3 linked regions of the Canis lupus familiaris genome follow. The protein of the gene in region 1 purifies or fractionates together with the protein of each later gene. This does not show direct contact. Links are inferred from orthologs where the notes say so. Each region holds a gene or a part of one and is shown in the gene's direction. Other genes may lie near its edges. The genes, in order: DDX39A, API5 and THOC1.

Region 1 (4,141 bases):
CAGGTACAAACGACAATCTATTGCAGGATTCTGTTTATATGAAATTCAAGATCAGAATTATAGAAATCTACATCGTCTTTTGCCTGGTTAGGGGGAAGGGGTGCGGTTCACCAGAGAGGGGCACAACAGGACTTTCTGCGGGGATGGAAATGTTCTATATTTTCCCTGGGCAACTGTCACTTGCCTGTCAATCTTCAAAACTCCGTGTACTTTTTCTTTTTACTATAACATTTACCTTAGTAAAGTACCGGGGGTAGGGGAGACAATGGGACGTGGGTAAAGTTGGGAAAATGTAATACAAGGGGAAAAGTAAAATTTAAAAAAAAAAAAAAAAAAAAAGCTTTATAACGAAAACCCTTCTGGTTTGGGTTTTGTGGCCTGAGCCTGGATGGCCACCTGCACACGATTTGACTCAGGACGAGACTCTCAGCAAAGGGGAGCTGGCACAGCCGGCGCAAACCGTCCCCTCCACGCTGGAGTCATTCCGGTCTCCGATCCTTTTCAGGACTCCTTCAGAGCCCCCACCCTGGAGAACCGAGAGGCCACCGCGGGTTGATGCTCCCTTCCAAAGCCCTGAATTCCACAGCCAGGCGTAGGAGCCACGCAACAGCAACGCGAGATACTCGCACAGGGTAAATCCTCCCCGGCTTCGGCTGCCAGTACTAAACATGGCGACGCCCACCAAGGGCAAACCGCCAATCGCGTGGCAGCGCACGGGCTCACGTCGGCCTCAGCCCAGGGCGCCTACTTTTAGATTGACCAATGAATCCGAGGCATGGGGCACGCCCCGTTTGCTGCTTTCACCAATAGCCTCCAGACGCCTCCTGCAGGACCCAATCACCGCTTCCGCCTCTCTTGAGTGAAAAGCCAGCCGTCCAGTGAGCAGACCCGCAGTCCGACGTAGGAGGCAGGAAGCGCTGCAACTCGTGTCGGGGCGCGCGGCCGGTAACCAGAGTCGGACGGCTTTCCTCGCAGCAGCACGCGGAGGCGAACGGGGAAGCAGGTGAGCGGTGGGTCTGGGGCGCGGGGGCGCGGTGCGGAGACTTCGGACCTGCGGGCGAGCGGGCGAGGGGAGACGCCGGGGGTTGAGGGGAAGAGGAAGAGGAGGGGGCGCGAGACGAGTGGTGGGGGGGCGGAGCGGTTTGGGCGTCAGCCGCGCGCGGCAGCAGCCGTTGAACGCCACGGCGCATGCGCGGCCCGGGGGGGGGGCGCCGGTGGCTGTTGGCGCGCGGGGAGTCATCCCGCTTCCGGGAGTGGGGCTGTCATGGCGGCCCGCGGGTCGACCCCGACTTGGCGAGGAATCCTCTCTGCTCGAGGAGACTGCCTAGGCCGTTTGGGGAGGGATTCGGGGTGTGGGTGTGTGTGTGGGGGGTGACGCCAGGGCCTGGGGTTGCGGTGGGAGGAACCCGAGCTTGTAGCCACGACAGGGGACTCTGTTGTGTTCTTGCTCTGTGTTTAGGGAATTCGGGGTTCCAGAGATTTAGAGCAGAAAAGATGTCTCAGAGGCCGACTCCGAGGTGGAAGTCTTCCCTGGAGGCACTTTGAGAGGGAATGGGTACCCGTGGGCGTGTCTGGATTGACACTTCTCGGGCGTCAGCCTTCCAGTTGGTCTGCTCCGGGGGCCTCAGCCGTCGCAGCCACCCCCGCTGGGTGGGACTAACCCCCACCGTCCTCTCCTCCTCCAATTTGTTTTGAGCTTTAGATTTTTGTGTAGCCACTTCCAAGAAAATCTTGTTCGTCAAACTCGGGCCGCCCCTTAATATCGCCCCCCTAAATAACAAAACGCCTTCTTTTGACCTGTATTTTTCTCTAAAATGCACCATCACCTCTTGGGGCACCCGGGTTTAACAGAGTAGGTGACTAGGCTTTCTCTGCCCAGGGATTACCCCAGAGGTGGCCCTGCCCTGTTGAATGATCCACCTTATTCTTCCCTCATAACACCCCCACTGTGGTTAATTCTTAGTGACTGGTTTTCCCTGTTGCTGTTCTCGCCCGCACTCATCTTTCTACTCTTGGAGTAAATTGCTTGGGGCAATTGAGTCACGCAACTCAAAAAATCTCATCAGTGAAAAATAATCTCATCAGTGATTCCCTATTAGGGAATAAAGCGTGAATGCCCTCGACTTGATCAGCTTTCCCAAGTTTGTCCTCTACCTCTGCTTCAGCCAGCCAGTCTTGCTCTCCATTCCTCACAAGGGCCTGGTACTTTCTTTGGGGCTGACCTTTCCTAGCTCCTGTTCTTTTCTCTGCTACCTGAGAAATAACCCCTCCCTGTTCAGATTACTTTTTTCAAGAATCAGTTAAGGATATATGCTTGCTTTAGCCCCTAACCTTGCCTTGAAACCTGAATTCTAATTCTATTCATTCAGCTATTGCTGTTGAGTGCTTTAGGCTCTGGGCTGGCAGGCCTGACTTTTAAGAGGGTGCTTTTCTACTCGGGGCTGGCAAGAGATGTCCTGGAGTCAGAGGCCTGACGGAAGTGAGGGGAATCCTGACCACTTTGGGCAGCAGAAACAGCAGGTACAAAGGTGCTGAGGCATGTTTGAGGCACAGCAACAAGGCCAGTGAGTGAGGGCAATGGAGGAAGTGAGGTTTGAGTGTAGAGGGGCGGTCGGTTCATGTAGGGTCTGATGGGTCATGGTGAGGATTCCTGAGTGTTCTGAGCACAGTGGGAGCTTGTGGAGGGTTTTGAACAGAGGGGTGACATTCTCTGATGTAACTTTTACACTTTGGGGAGAGAAGATGGAAGGGGATGGAAAAGGGGAAGACCAATGAGGAGACTATTCCCATAATCCAGGCACAGGGTGATGGAGCTCAAATCATCAACTGACCGTGGATAAACTGGTATGCCTGTACAGGGGAATGTTCAACTCTGACAAGGAATGAGGTACGGATGCAAACCACACAGTGAGCAGATGAATGTCAAAACATGCCAAGTAAAAGAAGCTGTATGAATGGTGGCATATTGTATGATTCCATTTATGAGCTGTCCAAAACCAGCAGATTCATAGAAAACAAAGTAGGTTAGCTGTTGCCAACGGGGTGGGGGTGGGAGGGAAGACAGGTAAAGGGTCCCGGTCTTTTTGACCTGACCGAAATGTGTGATGCACTCCAGCTGCAGTGGTCATTCCACATAGTTCTGACCGTTCTAAAAATATTGAAAACCAGTGAACTGTATGTACATTTTAAGGAGTGAATAGTAGGCTTGTGAATATCTCAGTAAAACTTCTAATTTTAAAAGAAAGGTGAAGGGGCACCTGGCTGGCTCATTCAGAAGAGCACATGACTCTTGATCTTGGGGTCCAGAGTTGGAGCCCTGTGTTGGGTATAGAGATTATTTATATATAAAAAGAAAGAACGGTAGAGGTAGCTTGAGACCAGTGAGGTGGCAGGGGTGAGAGGTGACCTGATTGTCCTGTTGGGCTGACTGGACTGGAGGAGAGAAAAAGCCAGTGAGAGAATGGAATTGCCTTTTTTGAGAAGCAGGTCTGCAGGAAGAAACAGAGGGGGGACCCCTGGGTGGCGCAGGGGTTTGGCGCCTGCCTTTGGCCCAGGGCGTGATCCTGGAGACCCGGGATCGAATCCCACGTCGGGCTCCCGGTGCATGGAGCCTGCTTCTCCCTCTGCCTGTGTCTCTGCCTCTCTCTCTCTCTCTCTCTCTCTCTGTGTGACTATCATAAATAAATAAAGGAAAAAAAAGAAACAGAGGGTTTTGCTCTGGGTCTTTTGAGTCCAGCTTCCAAGGGGAGATGTAAATGAGGCATCTGGGTAACCAGGCTGTTGTTGAGGGGATCTGGGTAACTTATGGCCAGAGACATAAGTTTGGGACCTCTCCACACAGATGTGATTAAAGCCCTGGGGCTGGATGAAGGCGCAGAGAGAATGAGAGAGGGAGGACCAAAAAGTGGGCCCAGGACCCTCCACATCCAGCTCAGGAAGAAGAGGGACTGCTTCACCACTTCCTTGCTCTGGATTTGGAGGCTGGGGTGGGGTTGGGAGGACAAAAGACCATAATCTCACTTTTGGGTCCCTTGTAGCTTACATCCAGTAGGTGCTGTGCATGTATTGGATTAAATAAAGCCAGGAGGTGAGCAAGTTTTGTATTCTCTTTACCATCTCAGCTCTACTTTTATTGGCTTGG
Region 2 (3,591 bases), on another chromosome or scaffold:
TATTAAATAATATACTATTCTATGTGAAAGAATATCCCCGCCTTTTTTGACAACTCATTGTTCTTTGGATTTTTACAGAAAAATGTGCATTCCACAAGGTTTGTGACTTACTTCTGTGAGCAGGTTCTTCCCAACCTCAGTTCCTTGACTACCCCAGTGGAGGGTCTTGATATACAGTTGGAGGTAAGAGAAAAATGTCTTCTTTAGTACTAAAAAGGCATTCCCATATTTTAACATAAATATAAGCCACTAAGGTAGAGACCTGATTTCTAAGAGAGTAAAGGTGTTAGAGCTAGCTAGTAATCTGTCTCAGGGTTAATCACATAGGAATGCTTTATGAATTTAATGAAAGTTTGTTGCATTGGGAAAGCACTGCCTGTAGTGTTCATGATTCTCTTACTCTTTGTAGCTTTAATACTTTTAAATAAGGTGCTTAATTCATGACTGTTCCTATCTCTATCCATAATTGATAGAATCAGATTTAAACTGGCTTAACACAAAATATCCTTTATCCCTACTCCAGTATAGTTGATGACTCTCTCCCTTGTATCTGAACTATAGTGTACATATACTTTTTTTCCACAGCACATGTAACACTTCACATTTATCTCACATTTAACTGACTCATCTCCATAGCCCCAGAGTCTAGTGCAGAGTCTGATTCTGAAAGGCACTTAATAATGATTGTTGAATTGAGCTGAAATGTGGAAATGTATGTGCCATTTTCTCATAGGTTTTTGGAATACACAAGAGTCCCACTGTGTACGGACACTGTCATTTGCTTCAGATGTCCTGGGTTTGGCTTATTAGACTGGGATTGAGTAAAGGAGAGATGGACCTCAAGAATACTTGCAATTACCAATACTTTGAGTTAGTGTCCAGAGACTAACTTTAATAGCAAATGAAGCCCATTCTAAATGTAAATAATTCTTTGCTGTTAAGAGTTTTCCTAAGTGTCTCTTCATAGTACAATATTAAGCTGTAGCAAAAGTCTTAAAAAGTTACCTAGAATCATTATTTTACAGCCCTTGCTCATTCAAAAAAAATGCTATTAACAGTGAATTCTGTATTTTAGGTATTGAAACTCTTGGCAGAAATGAGTTCATTTTGTGGTGACATGGAAAAGCTAGAAACAAATTTAAGGAAACTATTTGACAAGTTATTGGTAAGGACTTTTTTTCTTTTCTTATGGCATAGTCAGTGTGTAATCCCAGAGTCTAATAGTGTGGTGTAATTTCTAGAGAACCAACTTTTGAAATTCAGATTGGGTAGAGTAATTAGAATGATTCTAGCAGGTGTTTTTAGTTGTTCGGGCCACATGTTCTCTACTTTTAAAAGAAAATCTTTGGCATTTCTTTTGTTGATGCTTTGCATAAAAGATAACAGGGTTTTTATAGTAGATCTTTTTGGTATTCCTTTATCAAAATATTTTTCACATTTGCTCCAGGTTGCTGCACAAGGCCAAGTAGCTATAGCTGCTAGGAAATAAAGTCATTCAAGTCATAATTTTGGAGAAAATAGGCCATCTGCTAAAATCATTTTCAACATCACCAAGTGATTTCCTTGTTGGATGTAAGCAGTTGTATACCTGACACAATGAGTGATAAGCATTAGACCTATAATGTGATAAAGGGAGTCATCCAGCATCTGGAGCTCTTCCAGACATGTAACGCCTACCAGGGGCTCGCAGCACTGGTATCGAATGCGTTTGGCAGTACTTGTAACGTAATGAGAGTCAAACAATGTAGGAAAATGTTCATAAAACATTTTTGGAATTACCTTAATAAAATGGTTAAAAGCATCAGCTTTTGGTGGCAAATCTAGATTGAATCCTGATTCTTCAGCTTACTGTTTCACCATAGAAAAATTACAGGGGTGCCTGGGTGGTTCAGTGGTTGAGCACCTGCCTTTGGCTCAGGGCATGACCCCGGGGTCCCAGGATCGAGTCCCATGTCGGGCTCCCTGCAGAGAGCCTGCTTCTCCCTCTGCCTGTGTCTCTACCTCTTTCTGTGTCTCTCATGAAGAAATAAATAAAATGTTTAAAAAAAAATTACCTACACTCAGAACTTCAGTTACTTCATTTGTATAAGTGTTTAATAAAGGTTATCTACTTCACTGTCAGTAATAATAGTAGTAATGGTGGTGGTGGTGGTAGCAGCAGCTATCTAATGTGGAGGAGGCTAGATCATTGATCCAAAAAGTAGAAGGGATAGCTTACCTAAATTTCTGATTTTGGTAGTTTTTAATGCTTCATGCCTTAAAAGCATGCCCTGCAGTTACTTCAGTGTATGTTTATAATTAGAGCATTTATAGCAGATTGCAAATATCTCTATATTTTTATCTCTTAGGAGTACATGCCTCTCCCTCCAGAAGAAGCAGAAAATGGGGAGAATGCTGGTAATGAAGAACCCAAGCTGCAGTTCAGCTATGTGGAATGTTTGTTGTACAGCTTCCACCAGCTGGGCAGAAAACTTCCAGATTTTTTAACAGCCAAGCTAAATGCAGAAAAACTGAAAGATTTTAAAATTAGGTGATGTATAATTGAAGTGGTCCGATCGTTGGCAAAGATGATGGTTATCTTGATATTCCCTTGGTTTTCTTTTCCTTTTACAAGAGCTGTCTCCCAACCCTGCCTTACCCCGTGGGACAAAATGGAACACCCTCAAACAGGAATGTATATAAACCTGTGGCATAACAAATCCAGGTCAGGGAAGGAACTTTTTCAAAAACAGACTCACTCTCCTCACTTGCTTTATAATCTTGAGCAGGTTCCCAACCTCTCTAACTTCCAGCAGTTACTTAATGATAACAGCACCTGCCTCATTGAGCACAGTGCCTGGCACATCGTGGATACTCTGTAAACTCGTGGTTAATGTCTTAGAGTGTTCTAGAGGAGCAACACTAGAGAAATCATACGTTATTTTCATGAACACATTTCATATTGAATCATTTTATTAACAACTTCACATCTTAAACTTTGAAATGGTTGGCCACTTGCATCATCTGTTACCATCCTCTACTCTTTGGTAAGACAATGGTTTAATACTTGGTAAAACATTTGATCAGAAGCAGCAAGTTAAGAAATTACTCCAAAAATTAAAAAATGATGCCAGGTTATTAAGCAGAGTTTCCTGGAAGGCTATATACTGCCTTGACTTGAAAAAAGTATTACTTTGAAGTCTTTGAGATTTATATGTGTTTATAATAAATTCTCCAATCTGCGGTTTGGTTTTATTTTTAACTAGACCTTGAGGGTCAAACACATCCCTTGTTAGCAGATAAATACATAGAGGTTAAAGTGACTTGTCTAAGGTCACTTGACCTTCAGTTGGCCACTGAAAGAGTAGAACCCAGGCCACCTGATTCTTATCCGTGGCTCCTGAAGTTGGTTCACTCTGACCATGCCTTGCATTTTGACATAACAAGAACAGTGTTACAAATCTTTCCCTGGCCAGGTTGAGTATGGATTTACTCGCATTTTTGGTAAAGGAAAACTGCTTTTATTTCACTTATTTATGTATCTCTTGTGATCATATATTGATAATTTTTAAAATTCCTTTAAAAATTATCTTTACTAGTTAAGAACATTTA
Region 3 (4,246 bases), on another chromosome or scaffold:
CCCAACGTGGGACTCAATTCCGGAGCCCTGAGCCACCCAGGCGTCCCCAGAAAAATTATTTACTTCTTAGGTCTTAGCTGTGCTCCAGTTAATAATAATCTGTAATATAATAATAATCTTATTACATCAGCTACCTATTAAATCAGTTAATACCAGGTTTGGGTTTTGTTGTTTTTGTTTTTGTTTTTTTCCAGCCGATTTGGAATTTAAGTCATACACTCAAACTTGAATGATTCAGTTGATTCCTAAACAAGATTGTAATGCTTCAGGTAGCCACCACTGTCTGACAATTCCAACTTATGGGCAAAACTATGCAAAGTTATCTTTTGGTTAAGCTTCCTGTATTCTTATTAGATGCCAATGAAGGGAGAAGGTATACATGGGAGGGAACAGTACTGAGTGTTCCGGTCGGTGCTGCTTTCTCCGCAGCATGATTCCAACCGACAAAGTTAGTGCCGCTTGGCGTCTCCCTGGCCACGCCTCTCCAGTGAGGCGACAGGGGAGGAAACTGCTGAGGAGAAAGCGTTTTTTGTAACGGGTGCCGCCCGTTTGCAAATGAGCGCCGAGAACTGCAAATTCTCGGCAGAGGCCTCTCTATGCAGAAAAGTCAACGGACACTAAGATACTGACTGACAAGGAGGGGCGGCCCGGGTGGCTCAGCGGTTTAGCGCCGCCGTCAGCCCAGGGCGTGATCCTGGAGTCCCGGGATCGAGTCCCACGTCGGGCTCCCTTCGTGGAGCCTGCTTCTCCCTCTGCCTGGGTCTCTCATGAATAAACAAGTAAGATCTTAAAAAAAAAAAAAAAACTGACAATGATACTCCTAGTCCCATAGAAGCCACATTTGCTTTCATTATTTCATTTGTGCTTTTCCACAGTCCTGTAAAACGGGCATTATTTCTACTTCACGGAAGAGGGAACTGCTCCTAAGCTACAGGGTCCGTGGACTAACTACTCAGCAAGGCAGCAGCTAAGAGCACTCCCTCGGCGAGAATGACTGCCGTCCGGGGCTCACAGGCACCGCCCCCACTTCACCCGCCAGGGGCACCCCCGGATGACCCACCTGCCCTGGATTCCCAGGCCGAGGTGACCTTCCCGCGCGACTCAGTAAGCCTGACTGGCCGCCATTCGCCCAGCTTCCCCAGAGCCGGAAAATCACCGCAGGTGCGCGCGAGGGCCTAGTCCCCGCCAGGCAGCACCACGCCGACAGGGCCAGGACGCCCCTATGCCGTCACCCCGAGGGCGCTCCACGAATCCGGACCGAGCACGCTGTGGCTGACTCAGCCCCGCCAACGGCCGGCCGAACTGTCACCAGCGAGGCTCCCGGCCGCCAGCGGGCCTAGCCCTCGGCTCACAGGCCGCTCTAGCCGCGCTCGGACAGCGCGATCTCGCTGCTCCCGCCTGACGTCATCGGCGGGCGCCGCAGCGCGGTGGCGGGCACGCGCAGCCGGGAAGATGTCTCCGACGCCGCCGCTCTTCAGTTTGCCCGAAGCGCGGACGCGGTTCACGGTTAGTGGGCTGTGGGAGGGTGCGGCTCTGACCTGGCTCTATCTTTTTCCTCCTCTCCCAGAAAATACTCGAATTTTGCCCTGGAGTAAGGCGGGAACTGAGGTGTGTGCCCCGCGGTGTCGGCTCCCGGCCCCGTCGGGGGCGGGGAGGTGGGAAAGACGCATTACTTGTCTCTTCCGTGCGTCCCGTGCTGTCCGCCTCCGTCCTCCTGTCGGCAGGTCTCTGAACCTCGCGGTCTGGGCGCCTTTGTGCCCCGCGTGGAGGGCTCATCCGCACACGACCTCCGGTGCGGTCGAGCTCTTCCGCAGTGCTCGCTTAGCCGGACAGGTGTCTCCAAAATTGCTTACGGGTGAGGGCGGGAGTGATCTTAGCCCAGGGGACTGGCTCGCGCTCCGCCTCCTCAGCTGCCAAGTCGTGGATCTCGGTCGCTTATTCACCAGCCTTTAGCCTTCCGTATCTCGCTCCCAAGAGATTAACGAGATCCTAAGTAGGAAAAGGCAGAGAGATCAGCTTGGGGATTGTTGCTGGATGTCATTTTATACTTACACAGTTTGGAAGAGTAGTTTGAGCATTTGGGGAAAGCCTTACAGAGCGTTTTCATGTTAGCGTATTTAACTCTTTGAATAGCACTGTGAAGTAGGCAAAGTTCTATTAAAGCCTGGTAGATGAGCTGGAAATTGAGATCACACCCCCTCCCCCCAAAAAAAGTAAGGTGATGTACTTCGCTCGTGTTTCTGACGTCAGACCCAGTGTTCATTTTACGTTGCCCATCAGAGCATGAAGAACCCTGTTCTGAGTTGCTTGCCTGTATTTGTTTTTAGCATTTGCGCCAATATTTCAAGTTATGATTCAACTACTTGAATAGTTAACTGTGCTTACCTAGTTTTAGTGACGCCAGAATAAAGAGTTTTCTTGTGTGCACATTATTTTTTTATCCCATGCAAAGAGCGTTCGTTTGTTAACCAAGTAATATCTCGTTTATGTCTTCAGAATCGTTTTCTTTCTGTGTATTTTTCTGCAATCCCTGGTGCTCTGAAATTCTGCTAAGAGTAATTGTTAGAAATATCCAATATGGGGACACCTGGGTGGCTCAGCGGTTGAGCGTCTGCCTTCGGCTCAGGGCGTGATCCCCGCGTTTGGGATCGAGTCCTACATTGGACTCCCTGTGAGGAGCCTGTTTCTCTCTCTGCCTGTGTCTCTGCCCCTCTCTCTGTGTCTCTCATGAATAAATAAATAAAATCTAAAAAAAAAAAAAAAAGAAATACCGAATATACTAGTCCTGGAGGGGACCATTTAATTTGAGATCATCTAGTCCCGTGCTTCTTAAGGTGTAATGTACAGTGGAATCACCTGGAGATCTTGTTAAATGTAGATTCTGGTGTAGTAGGTCTGAAATAGAGCCTGAAAGTCTGTATTTCTAAGTTCCCAGGCATCTACAACAGCTTGCTTGCTTATTTATTTATTTATTTATTTATTTATTTATTTATTTATTTATTTATTTATAAGAGGCACGGGGTGGGGGCGGGAGGAGGGGTGCAGAGACACAGGCAGAAGGAAAAGCAGGCTCCATGCAGGGAGCCGGCAGTGGGACTCGATCCAGGGTCTCCAAGATCAGGCCCTGGGCTGAAGGCAGCGCCAAACTGCTGGGCCACCAGGGCTGCCCGACAGCCCCCTTATTTAACTGGTAAAGAAATTGAAGCACAAAGAGATAAGGAGATATGCCGAGGATTATACAGTCTACTCTTGGCATATGCCGAGGATTATACAGTCTACTCTTGGCAGAGTCAGGAACGGACATTTCCAGTGTAAATCGAATTCCTGGGGGTAGTGAGATAACTTTCCAAGTGTATGTGAGTTTCTACAGAATGAAAGACTTTGCAGTATTTTTGTCTTTCATATTTCTTTTTTTTTTAAGGTTTTATTTTTAAATAATTTCTACACCTAAAGTAGGGCTTGACTTACAACCCGGATGTCAGAAGTTACATGGTCTAGCTACTGAGTCAGAATCCCCTTTTTATTATCTTGACTTTCATTTATGACTAAGACAATTAGCAGGTATTCAGTGTTGACTGTGTGTTAGAGACTTGGGCTGAGCAAAACTAGAGAAGATGGGACTTGAGATGGGTCTTGAAGAATGGATAGGATTTGCATGAGCAGGTGGGAATAACAGTGAATGAATACACTAGAGTGAGCTTGGTAGAAAATAATGAAAAAATGTCTAGACCTTAGTGGAAACTGTATGTTAGATGGTAGTGGGAAATAAGATTGGATAGATTGAAGGTGATAGCATCAAGGACCTTGAGAGGGAGCTGTGAAATTTTAAAACCAAAGCCTGTAAATAAGGAGCCATTTGGAGATTTAGAAAAAAAAAAAAAGTAGAATACTCTCATGAATGTGATATGTAAAGAAATGGTAAGGAGGGAAAGCCTGGAATAAGAAAGTCTAGTTGGTAAGCTCTTGTCAAATTTAAAGTGATTAGAGTTTGCATCATTAAGTGGCATTTGAATAAGAATTATTGATGGAATGACTGATAGTTTTTCCCAAGTGTAAGTGTTTCTAGTTAAATATACTGTTGATGAGTGATGTTTTTCAGTAAACAATAGGCAAAAATCTTTCCACTTACATGCTATTTTTATTTTTCTAGAAGTCTACCAGAGAGGCCCTCAACAACAAAAATATCAAGCCATTGTTGAATACCTTCAGCCAATTACCTGGCAGGTAAGGCATTGATATCCATGAA

Evidence for each region.
Region 2: the proteins of DDX39A (region 1) and API5 fractionate together in Homo sapiens (co-fractionation; 3 studies listed by BioGRID, with this or other methods). This does not show direct contact. The link is inferred for Canis lupus familiaris from reciprocal best matches to the Homo sapiens genes DDX39A and API5.
Region 3: the proteins of DDX39A (region 1) and THOC1 purify together in Homo sapiens (affinity purification with mass spectrometry; 3 studies listed by BioGRID and IntAct, with this or other methods). This does not show direct contact. The link is inferred for Canis lupus familiaris from reciprocal best matches to the Homo sapiens genes DDX39A and THOC1.

What each region holds. Positions count from the first base shown.
Region 1 is NC_049241.1:48,594,805-48,598,945, forward strand, and holds the start of DDX39A (ATP-dependent RNA helicase DDX39A), read left to right. Parts: upstream 1-1,338; 5' UTR 1,339-1,356; intron 1,357-1,405; exon of another isoform or gene 1,406-2,369; 5' UTR 2,370-2,520; intron 2,521-2,797; 5' UTR 2,798-2,882; coding exon 2,883-2,887; intron 2,888-4,141. UniProt on the Homo sapiens protein: Helicase that plays an essential role in mRNA export and is involved in multiple steps in RNA metabolism including alternative splicing. Regulates nuclear mRNA export to the cytoplasm through association with ECD.
Region 2 is NC_049239.1:26,730,685-26,734,275, reverse strand, and holds part of API5 (apoptosis inhibitor 5), read left to right. Parts: intron 1-78; coding exon 79-183; intron 184-1,075; coding exon 1,076-1,165; intron 1,166-2,348; coding exon 2,349-2,530; intron 2,531-2,987; exon of another isoform or gene 2,988-3,591. UniProt on the Homo sapiens protein: Antiapoptotic factor that may have a role in protein assembly. Negatively regulates ACIN1. By binding to ACIN1, it suppresses ACIN1 cleavage from CASP3 and ACIN1-mediated DNA fragmentation. Also known to efficiently suppress E2F1-induced apoptosis.
Region 3 is NC_049228.1:67,189,779-67,194,024, reverse strand, and holds the start of THOC1 (THO complex subunit 1), read left to right. Parts: upstream 1-1,358; 5' UTR 1,359-1,452; coding exon 1,453-1,506; intron 1,507-4,150; coding exon 4,151-4,224; intron 4,225-4,246. UniProt on the Homo sapiens protein: Component of the THO subcomplex of the TREX complex which is thought to couple mRNA transcription, processing and nuclear export, and which specifically associates with spliced mRNA and not with unspliced pre-mRNA.